Regions from separate parts of the Mus musculus genome. Here region 2 is reported to be linked to region 1. The links are microRNA targets in miRTarBase. Many come from high-throughput screens and were not tested one by one. Region 1 holds a microRNA gene; the other region holds the end of a gene's coding sequence.

Region 1 (5,074 bases):
AATGTGGGCAGGAGAGTGCTGAGAAGAAGGGCACTTAGAGCCTGCAAATCTGGGCTCTGGCTGAGTGGAGCACCCTAACAGGCAGGCGGGCTTGGTCATCTGTCAACAGGCCTGAGCTGGGAGATCCCACAGGCCTTGCCCGCAGAGTCAGCATTGTACTCTGCATGAAGCACCCACTGCCCATTCTTTCTGCTGGGAGCCAGCTCTGCCCCTGAATTTGTCAGTAACTGGGAGCCATGTCATGGCTAGGTAGTCATCAAGATAGCACTTCCTCTACCTTGACTTTAGTGTGCTGGTATCTCAGACCTACTAGGTCCTCCCCATGGATCCAGGCTCCCCATGGATCCAGGCTAGCTCATGCTCCAGCCTCAAAGTCTCACTCCTTGAGAAACTTCTCCCAACTTTCTAGCCACCCATGGCTCACAATCCCTTGGCTTCTGGCAACAAGGCGGGACAGCAGGGGTCCCTCTTGGCCATGTTCTTACCTAACCCTTCTCCTGGGTTCTGCCTCTTGTGGATATGCTTCACCTCAGCATAGTTCTCCCAGTAGCTCTAGTGTACACCATGTACTCAAGAGATGGTTGCCTTTCCTTGGCCTCTCTTGAACCCCAAAGGGTCAGTGCTCAGCCCTGAGCTTCCAGACCTATGTGCTGCAGGGTGGGCCCATCTGTAGGATAGTCTGTCTCCAAGGGAATCTGGAAGGCCCTTTGTCCTGGAACATCTAGCCTGCTTCTGCTCTGGTTTTGCCACTTGACACTGGGCTCTGATGGGACCACTGGTGGGGACAAGGGATCCTGTGGCTGGTGCTGAGTCTAGACATCTCTAAGCTTGGCTACCTCCCTACCTGGAAGGTCACCCAGGGCAGGCTGTGCTGTGGCTTCTGTCCCCTTCCTCTCTCTTCATCTCTGTCCCCTGGCTTGGGGTTGGTGGGCCATGCTTGGAGGGCCAGGCAGCACATGGCCCAGCAGCTGACCTGCGTGCGTGTGGCCGGGCAGTAACTCTGTTTTCTCGCTTTGTTCCTGCTGTAGTAAAGCAGTGTTCAGTAAAAGCCTGGATATCGCTGAAGCCCATCCCCAATTCAGCAAAGAAGACAGGTATACACCCTGCCCATCCAATCCGCCCTCCCAGCCCTAGATGCAGGACTCCTGCCTGAGCTCCGCAGACAGAGGCGGGCCTGGAGGCAGGGCTTACTGACAGACACTTCCACCTCTCTTTTCTGGGAATGGAACTATCTAGCAGTCCAGGGGAAGAGCTAGCCTGGGCAGCTATAAGGATGCAAGGAGGGGTGGGGTTGCTGGGGCAAGGCCCATGGCCAGCCCAAGCCAGAGGCCCTCATACTCAAGGCTTGCAAAGGCCCGCAATGGGTACTGCCCTGCACCCTGCACAGACCTGCCTTATGGTTGCAGGCCTGCCACCCCCTGCCACTCTTTTATCCAGATGGTCTTGGTGTTATTCCCACAAGGGCTGGCCAGTTTAGATGAAGTGGCTAAGTGTCCTATGCTCCTGGCAGGTGGCAGTAGGCCAGTAACAGCTGCTGCCCACGTGTGCTGCTGATTAGCTAGGCCACATCCAGTTGAGCTCCATACTGTCCCTGTACCTGCCTGTGCCCCTTCCTGCTTGCCTCTTGCCTACTTGGCTTCCCTCGGGGCTGGAGTCATCTTTTCTACTTTGGACAAATTGCAGCTCAGTTCCAGTATCGCTAGACAGAGAGGTTGATGTGGCTCCCATGCTTATGTCTCAGCTTCCCTTCTTCTTCCCTTGTGCCCAGCAATGTGTTCCTGTCTGGCATGGTGGGATCAGAGGCCTAGACTAGGCCTCACTGCTTGTGGCTGTGTCCCCTCTTCCCTGGCTCCTGGTATCTCCACCCCATCTCCATCTTCTCAGGGACTGGCTCCCAGCTGTACATCTGGACCTTTGTTCCAGTGGGGAGCCCTGGTACCACCCTGACTAAGGCATGCTGCCCTGGCCACGGGTCTCCATTGTTCCTCAGGCTCCTTTAGCAGTAAGTAGAGAGACTTGGAAGTCATGGACACAGGGCTCTAGTTACAGGTGCTCTAGGAGCTGGAAAGGAGCCAACAGAGACTGGTGTTGCCTAGGTGAGAACCAGAAACCCACTGTGTATAGTGTGGTTAGTGGTGGGCAGGCCAGGGCAGTGCAAACTGGTGTAATGCTCTTTCATCCTCTTTTGTCCTGTGGCTGCACCCTACCCCACTCCCCCCGCAAAGATGACAGGTCCCACAGCCAAGGGTGAACCTGTGTTTTTGTGTCCATTCTCATGGTGAGCTGGATGGAAGGCATTGTCTCTGACCTGTGGGGCAGCTAGCTAGCTGTTCATCATGTTATAACGGACACATAGGGGTAGTACCTGCTCCCTGCTACTTGCAGGCTAGGTCTTCAGCCCAGTGGGGCAATAGAGGGTTAAGATGAAGGCTATGGGCTGGCCCTGGGCTTCTCTTGTAGGTAGCTGTGGATGTGAAAGGACTGGGCAAGTCCCATGTAGTGAATCATATACTGAATGCTGTATAGCACAGTCCTGAAGAGGCTGGACTTGGGTGCTGGGGTCATGGACTGCATAAGCCTGGATCTAGTTTACAGGAATCCCCCATAGCGTGTCCTTGCATCTCTGTCCACAGTGTCTGTGGACTTTTGTTGATAGTCACTTAGTACCTTTTCCTGTACCTTGTCCGGGGTCGATGGTGGGTGGCTCCTCAGTGTGGAGGAGCCCCAGGGACCCTGGATACATACTGGGTGGTGACAGCCAAGGTCAGCAGGATGGCCCCAGGACACATCTGTGCCTCTAGAGACCTTCCTCGGCCTTGGAGCTCCGGGTCAGGACCCCACGCTTCCCGGAAAGGCCAACTAGGGGGCAGGAGCCGGAGCCCTCTGCTGAACTGACAGACGCTCTGCTTTGCTCCCCCAGATCTCGATCCATCAGTGGTGCGTCCTCAGGCCTTTCTACAAGTCCACTCAGCAGTCCTCGGGTGAGTGACTACCCTCCTAAGCCTTCACTTACAGAGCTAGCCTCAGGAAATCAAAAGGGACCCCAGTTAGAGAACCCAGGGTGGGGAGCAGGGCCTCCACAGACTGGGAAAAAGCCCCATCTCTGCCTTGCACACAGGCCTCCTTTGTGGGCTCCTCCTGGCTGCTGCTCTGCTGCTGGGCTCTGGCTAACTGCATGTTCTTTTGTTTTGTGTTGTCCGTTTTCTTGTATGTCACTTGTTTTTGTTGTTGTTTTGGTTTTATTTTTTATTTATTTTATTTTTTTGTGGCAAACCTTCCCCATGTCTGTCCCCTCCCTCTGGTCCTGCTTGGGTTTCCTGCTTGAATGCTATCACTGATCCTGGTTGCTATGTGTGCATGTGGGTGGGGTGGGCACGGGCTCCACTTCGCGGCCACCCCTCCTGACGTCACTCTGCGTCACTGTAGCCTGTTAGGAAGTTTGTCCTGCCCCCTCTGCCCCCTGAGCTCCCCTATGTGGCTTGCTCCCTGGCCACCTCCTCGGAGCCTGAAGCTTGTCGGAGCACCTCTCGGCCAGGACACATCCTCTCTCCACAGGCCGCCCTGCGGCCCAACCCCAAGACTCAGACCTTGCCGTGCAAGGCCAAGCTGACAGACAAGCCGCTGCAGGGCACCAAGTCCAACCCGCTCCCAGCCTGCACCCAGACCCAGCCTCCTGGAGCCAGCCTTGGCACTCCACTGGCCCTGTCCCCTGGGCCACCCACCCTGCCGGCACCTGCTCGGCTCCTGCCAACTGGGACTGAACCAAACACCAAATCTGTCCCCACCATACAGGTGACCCCTCACCCCTCACCAAGGGGTAGTCCCCTTCCTACCCCCAAAGGGACGCCTGTCCACACGCCAAAGGAGAGCCCAGCTGGCACACCCAACCCCACACCACCATCCAGCCCTAGTGTTGGAGGAGTGCCCTGGCGGACACGACTGAACTCCATCAAGAACAGCTTCCTGGGCTCACCTCGATTCCACCGCCGGAAACTCCAAGGTTAGCGCTGATATGGGGCTGGGTAGGTGGTGGAATCTGCACAGGGGGTCTTGCACTGCTCAGATGGAACATGCCAACAGCTGGCGGGTCTGTGGGCCTCTCCATAAGCACTGGCCTCTGAATCTGCCCTGTACCCTCTTGTCCCAGAATTGTTCTATCATCTTCTGGGCAGCGAGGCCTGTTGGGTGGTCAGAAAGACTACAGGTCTTAGGCTATGCTGGAGCCAGTTCCTCTGCTCATCTGGGGCCTGGAGAAGCACAATGGGGTTTCAGCACCAGAGCTCTGACAGCAGGCTGAGCAGGGGGGGCGGGGGAGGTGAAGACAAAATGGGCATGGTCCTGAGACTAGAACCTGCAGCAACATCCAACCTTGCCTTTGTCCTTTCCTGTGCACAGTTCCCACGCCAGAGGAGATGTCCAACCTGACCCCAGAATCCTCTCCAGAGTAAGTGGCTTTGCTTGAGGCTGATGAGAGAGGGACCCAGGATTTTTCCCATCAGGCAGGGGATAACCACCTGAGGGCTTTTGGTTCCTGGCCCGAACCCCTTGGGCCTGACTCAGCCCATGAGTGTTTATGAACTTTAGGTTCTGTCCACATGAGAAATGACAACTCTAGAGTTGGCTGGGGACAAGTGGGTGTGCTCTGGGCTTCCCTAGAGTCTAAGGGATCACAGGGAGGGTTTGGACATGAGGAAAAACAGGCTTGTGCTGAGGAAGAAGGACAGCTACAAGATACAGGACCCAGGGAGAGCACTAGGGTTATTGGCAGAAGTCTGAGAAAGACAGAGTAGCTCTAGCCTTCAGCTGGAGGGAAGGGAATGTGGGTGGGCCCAGTGTACCCACCCTACAGACACTGAGGGCCTGTACAGTGTGGCTTCTCTGTACCTTTCACGGTGGCCTCTCAGTAGTTACTTCCTTGGTAGCCACTGGCATGAAAGTAGGAAAACGTCCTATGACTGGGGCAGAGGGTAGGGGAAAGTATTGGCAAAAACCATTGCATCATTGTAGCTGTGCCACCTCACACAGTGGCCAGACAAGAGGAAAGGCCTTGGCCCTGTTGCCAGCACTCAGTAAG
Region 2 (5,074 bases), not on the chromosome of region 1:
ATCAGTATGTGATTCGACCTGGCCCAACAGCCTCTGCACCTTCATCGTCTGGGCCAGTGATAGCAGGTGAGCCCCTGGAATGCCCCACCTGTGGGCATACATACAACGTCACTCAACGGCGGCCCCGTGTGCTGTCTTGCCTGCACTCCGTGTGTGAGCAGTGCCTGCAGATTCTTTATGAGTCTTGCCCTAAGTACAAGTTCATCTCCTGTCCCACCTGCCACCGTGAGACTGTGCTCTTCACTGACTATGGCCTGGCTGCACTGGCTGTCAACACATCCATCCTGAGCCGCTTGCCACCTGAAGCCCTGACTGCCCCATCCGGTGGACAGTGGGGGGGTGAATCTGAAGGCAGCTGCTACCAGACCTTCCGGCAGTACTGTGGAGCTGCATGCACCTGCCATGTGCGGAACCCACTATCTGCCTGTTCCATCATGTAGTGTCCACCTGCCCACTACTGCCTGCAGGTCCTTGCTCGCCGCTTCTTCAGGGAACTGGCTTTGTCCTGTTGCCCGCTGACCCTTTCTTGCCCACTGTGGCTTCTGGCCCTACCCTGCGTGGCATTGTCGCTGCAGCCAACTTTGCCATTAAAACTCTTTGCCAAAGTTTGCACTTGTTCACTGATTGAAGCTAACTCCTGTGGGCTATGCCCATGCCTGGACCTAGGGTAGGTTCCCAAGGCTATAGTCCAACATGGTCTAACCAGGAGCTGCCAGAGGGTGAACCAGCTCCATTCAAGGTTGGCTTGCTCTGCTTGTGGAAGGGCAAGCTGGCCCGAGTGTACTGCTTAGGAGGTCTGGACTAGCTGGGAACACACTGGTACATGGAGATGGGGCCCAGCTAGGGAGACAGAACTTTTAGCTGTGTGTGGTGAAGTTCATTGGTAGTCCCAGCACACTGGAAGCTAAAGCAGGAGGGTTGTGAAGTCGGCATGGGTTGCACAAAGAGATCCTGTCCAAAAAACCCACGTACTTTTCTTCTGGCCAAGGATGTATGGAAACAGCCTCTGGACAGCATATGTAGAGGCTTACAGTTGGCTACGACCAAGGACCCAGCAGTCTTTTAAATGATCTGCCTATGACTGGAACAGGTACCATTGAAGGGTTGTGAGGAGAGTGCCTGGATGGCAGAGATGGAGTAATAATGAGGATGGCAGAGGTAATGATAGAATCAGTAACAACTGTTTATTGAGAACTTTTTTTTTTTTTTGGGAGACAGGGTGTCTCTGTGTAGCCCTGGCTGTCCTCCTGGAACTCGCTCTGTAGACCAGGCTGGCCTGGAACTCAGAAATCCACCTGCCTCTGCCTCCCAAGTGCTGCGATCAAAGGTGTGCGCCACCACTGCCTGGTCTGAGAGCCTTTCTTATGCTTGTTATATAGGACTCAGCCTGAAATGTTACACCTTACATTGTGTCACCAATGAGCCATGAAGTGAGCTTAGATTTGTCTGCATCTCCCAAGTGAGGGCTCCTGGTCCAGTGACATGAATTGCAGAGTCAACTAGGAACAGAGCTAGACCTTGGGCATTTGGAGGCTTCAGGGTCTGGATGGGCCCTTGCAAAACAAAGGCAATATTGATCCCAGCTCCTCTGGGCTACCTTCTCTGGTGAGAGTAGCTTAGGTTGGGTGGGAGCTTTTGAAGGCTGGCTTGTGCAGTGCAGGCCTCTCCTGGTAGTTACTGTGGCTGCTGCTGTTGCCTTCAGGACACACACCAGCTTCTGTCTGGTGCAGGTGAGAGTCTGCAGCCCTTGCCTTCTCCAATGAACAGATCTCAGGATAAACAGAATCACTGTTGGAATCACACATTTGTGTCCACTCTCACCAGCTGGACTACGAGCTGGCGGTATAGCCCAGCTTCTGCCTGTGGCCAGTGAGATGACCGCCCATGGCAAGCACATAGGGTTCTTTTCACAACTCTTTCTGCCAGGCCAAGCTCCTTCAGAGGCTGTCCTTGTGTCCTTGGCTTTAGCTAATATCTAGGCTGCAAGGGTGTGTAAGCACTCTGGCTGGCGTAGGCTCTTAGGCATGTATAGTCTTGGTATTGGTGATAACAAGTCTTTGCTGATTACCAGAATCCAAGCGTGCATGGACTTCAAAGCTTGGCCAGCATTCTGGGCTCTGCTTAGTGGGTGGAACGGTCTAGCAGCATGAAGAGCACCCCTAGTAAAAGGAGCGGCATGAAGATGACCACCAGCCCGAGCAGTTCAAGGACCAGTAGGCTCAGCAGTGACAAGCGGCGGGCACAGGGGCCACGTTCCCGTAGTGCCCACAACCAGGTGCCTAGGCTGGGAGGGCAGGGCAGGAAGGGGAGACAGCTTCGCCCTCCCACAGGCCCTGCCAGGAAGCGCAGCTGGTAGCGGTGCTCTAAGGGACCCCAGGGCCAAGGGCCAGGATGCAGGGCTGTGACGGATGCAGTCCGCATTGGGCGCTGGGGTCCATCAGCTCGAAGCAGTTCCTCCTGCAGCTGACAGATCTCCCACTCTAGCATAGGTGTCTTCTGACGACACAGTGGACAGCACACACGGCCCAGGTCAGCTCTGGGGGTCATGCCTAACAGCTGGTGTAGGCAGCCCACACACAGGCTGTGACCACAGTTTAGCAGGGTCAGGTGGTGCTCACTAGGCCCATAAGGCTCAGCACAGATGGGACATTCCTCCTCCTCCACAACCTGCCCCTCACCTTCCTGCTCTTCCACAGTTGACTCCAGGGCCCTGGCAGCGGATGGGTCTCTGGCCTCCAGTTCCGGTTTACTGTCTGGAGTTCTGGCACCCAGAGGGGCCCTGAGATCATCCTCTCCATCTGCTGGTAGCTGGCACAGTGGGTCCAAGAGCTCAGGACCCAGAGAAGCACCGGGTGAACTAGTAGACACAGAGCTGGTGTCATTAGGTCCCAGGTTACCACTAGAACAGAGGTCAGGATGCGTAGACGGAGACTCCAGGATGACTGCAGGGATTGTTGTAGATATGAAGGTGTGGCCCTCAGGAGCCAGGCAGAGCTTGGCCTCCACCCATCCACCTGAGCACTAACCTCTAGATAACCCTTTCGGCTTGCTGACCTCACTGGAAGTAAGCTTCACTTGGGTCCCCGCAGCATGTCAACTCTTGGTATCTGAGGCCTAAGAGTGGTGTTGGTCTGGTCCCTGTTTTCCACAAGCTGACAGACAGAACCGAGGTTCCTTAGCGCCCAGCTGCCCTTGGACCTGTCTGACTGCTCCAACAGGGTTTCCTTCCCAGCAGTGGAGGCCCTGCCCATGGGCGGGCCAACACAAATCACACCCCCTCCACCTGATCATTCTTTCAGTTCTTTGGAAAGAATAGTGCATGCTGGCTCTTGGCTGGGACTTCCAAATAAATAGCTCTCTAAGCCCTCTCTGCTTGGCCATGAGAGAAGGGTATATGAGCTTGGCTGAGTTGTGTGGCCATCAGAGAAGGGGACTAGCTTGGCTAAACTGTCAGTACAAGCCTGTGCTCATGCCCTGGAGGGCTCTTTGCCCACCACTAGCAGATGCAGATAATCCATGTCCCAACCACCACTCTCAAATCTAGAAGCAATAAAAGAGAAGTGAGCGGCTACCCAGGCAGTTAACTCATGTTTATGGACCTGCAGACAGACAGATTTGCCCATTCCCAATGCTCAGGAGACTTGGTCCCTGGTGGCTTTTCAACTGAGCTGAGCTGCACAGGTGTTATGGGACTAATGGGAATAGCACGGGGTCAGACGGGCAGTGCAGCCCGCACAGCTCTATGTCCTTTGGAGGGCTTAGCAGGCCCTTGGTGGTAGGGACTATAAATGCAGATTTGGGGCAGAATGAAGGGGTCTGAGAGAAAACCAGGAGTTCTAGCTGCACCGGGGCTGGGCCTACGTATGGGACACTGGGTTCCACTGAGTTTGGCTGTACGCAAGGACTGCCCTCCTGGTCAGCTGGACCAAAAAAGCGAAACTGTGGGTCTACCCAGTGTTCTGGGATTAGAAGGCAAGAGGTAACAATGGGCCTTCTAGACTCCAGCAGGCTACCCAATGCAGCTGTTAATGTGAGTGTGAGCTAGCAAGTGGCTCCTCAGGCCCAGGTTTCAGTCTGGAAGCGCAGTGTCTGCTGGAGCCTAGCAAGGTAGGCAGATGCATCTGCAGTGGAGAGTCGTCCTTCTTCTTGAAAAATGGACATAAGGGCTTCCGAAACATCCGTAGGCAAATATTTAGCATTGCTGGAAAGGCAGGCCTCAGAAAGCTCAGTGATCCCGATTCCCAACCCTTACTACTACCCTTCCCTAAAGGCTGGTCCACCCCCCGACATTCCCAAGTTTGCTCACCCTGCTAGGTAGAAGTAGGCACCTTGGCCATCCAGCAGCTCCCAGACAAGTGGCCCCAGCTCTCGAAGCCGGTGCTGCACATATACCTTCTGCTCCTGCAGGTGTCAGAGGCTAAGTTTCAGCCATCCCAACTCCTGTCCTATCTAACTTGAATATACTCACCTGCTCCCGGGAGAAGGCTGTAACCAGGGTCAGCCAGCCCTTCTGCTCTAGCTTCTGCCATTCAGTCTGCCAGTAGAAGTCCTGATCCCGCTGGCGGCAGCCAAAGAACAAGAAGTTTCCTGGGGTACATAGGGCGGTCCCCGTCTGGATGCAGAAATTCAGCTAGACCAGGCTCAGTGGTCAGGTCACACTGCTTTGGAGCTCCAGTACTCACCAGTTTGGCCATGAGCCACTCGTTCCTGAATGGCTGCTCGGAAGGGGGCCACACCAGTTCCAGCCCCCACCATGATAATGGGTGTGTCTGGTGTTTTTGGGAACACGAGGCTCCCAGGACGTACCCACAGAGGCACCCGGACAGGTCCTGCTGCAGAAGGGAAATGGCATGTAGGAGGTCAAAAGACAGTGCTAAGGTGCTAAGTGCTTGAGCTCCTGGGGTAGCAGGAACAGGGGAAGATGGGCACTTGAGGCTATACTCTCTCCCAACCCCGAGCCCCAGAACTATGGATTTACCTTGCCCAGGATTCAGGGATGCTAGCCAGGAGGAGCAGAGACCATGGCGGGGCTCCTTCAGACGAGTCTGGTACTTTACCACAGCCACAAGGATCT

What was found. Region 1 holds the annotated microRNA mmu-miR-3104-3p (ACGCUCUGCUUUGCUCCCCCAGA, at 2,899-2,921, shown strand). A microRNA usually pairs through its seed, bases 2 to 8, with sites in the 3' UTR of a target mRNA and lowers its output. Matches are read on the target gene's strand: a 7mer-m8 pairs with bases 2 to 8, a 7mer-A1 pairs with bases 2 to 7 and ends in A, and an 8mer does both.
Region 2: miRTarBase lists Ndor1 as a target of mmu-miR-3104-3p. Seed matches in the 3' UTR shown: 8mer at 1,255-1,262.

The regions. Positions count from the first base shown.
Region 1 is chr7:141,989,320-141,994,393 of GRCm38, forward strand. Mir3104 (microRNA 3104) reads left to right here and starts at 2,860; the gene lies at 2,860-2,922. Brsk2 (BR serine/threonine kinase 2) reads left to right here. Exons shown (of 20, transcript NM_001009930.3): 13 at 2,921-2,981; 14 at 3,793-4,000; 15 at 4,396-4,444.
Region 2 is chr2:25,243,654-25,248,727 of GRCm38, forward strand. Ndor1 (NADPH dependent diflavin oxidoreductase 1) reads right to left here. Exons shown (of 14, transcript NM_001082476.2): 10 at 4,979-5,074; 11 at 4,683-4,832; 12 at 4,469-4,587; 13 at 4,307-4,401; 14 at 1,160-4,201. The coding sequence ends at 4,057. Rnf208 (ring finger protein 208) reads left to right here. Exons shown (of 1, transcript NM_176834.2): 1 at 1-608. The coding sequence ends at 440. Among named protein-coding and RNA genes, the nearest start is that of Rnf208, 3.3 kb to the left of the region's middle.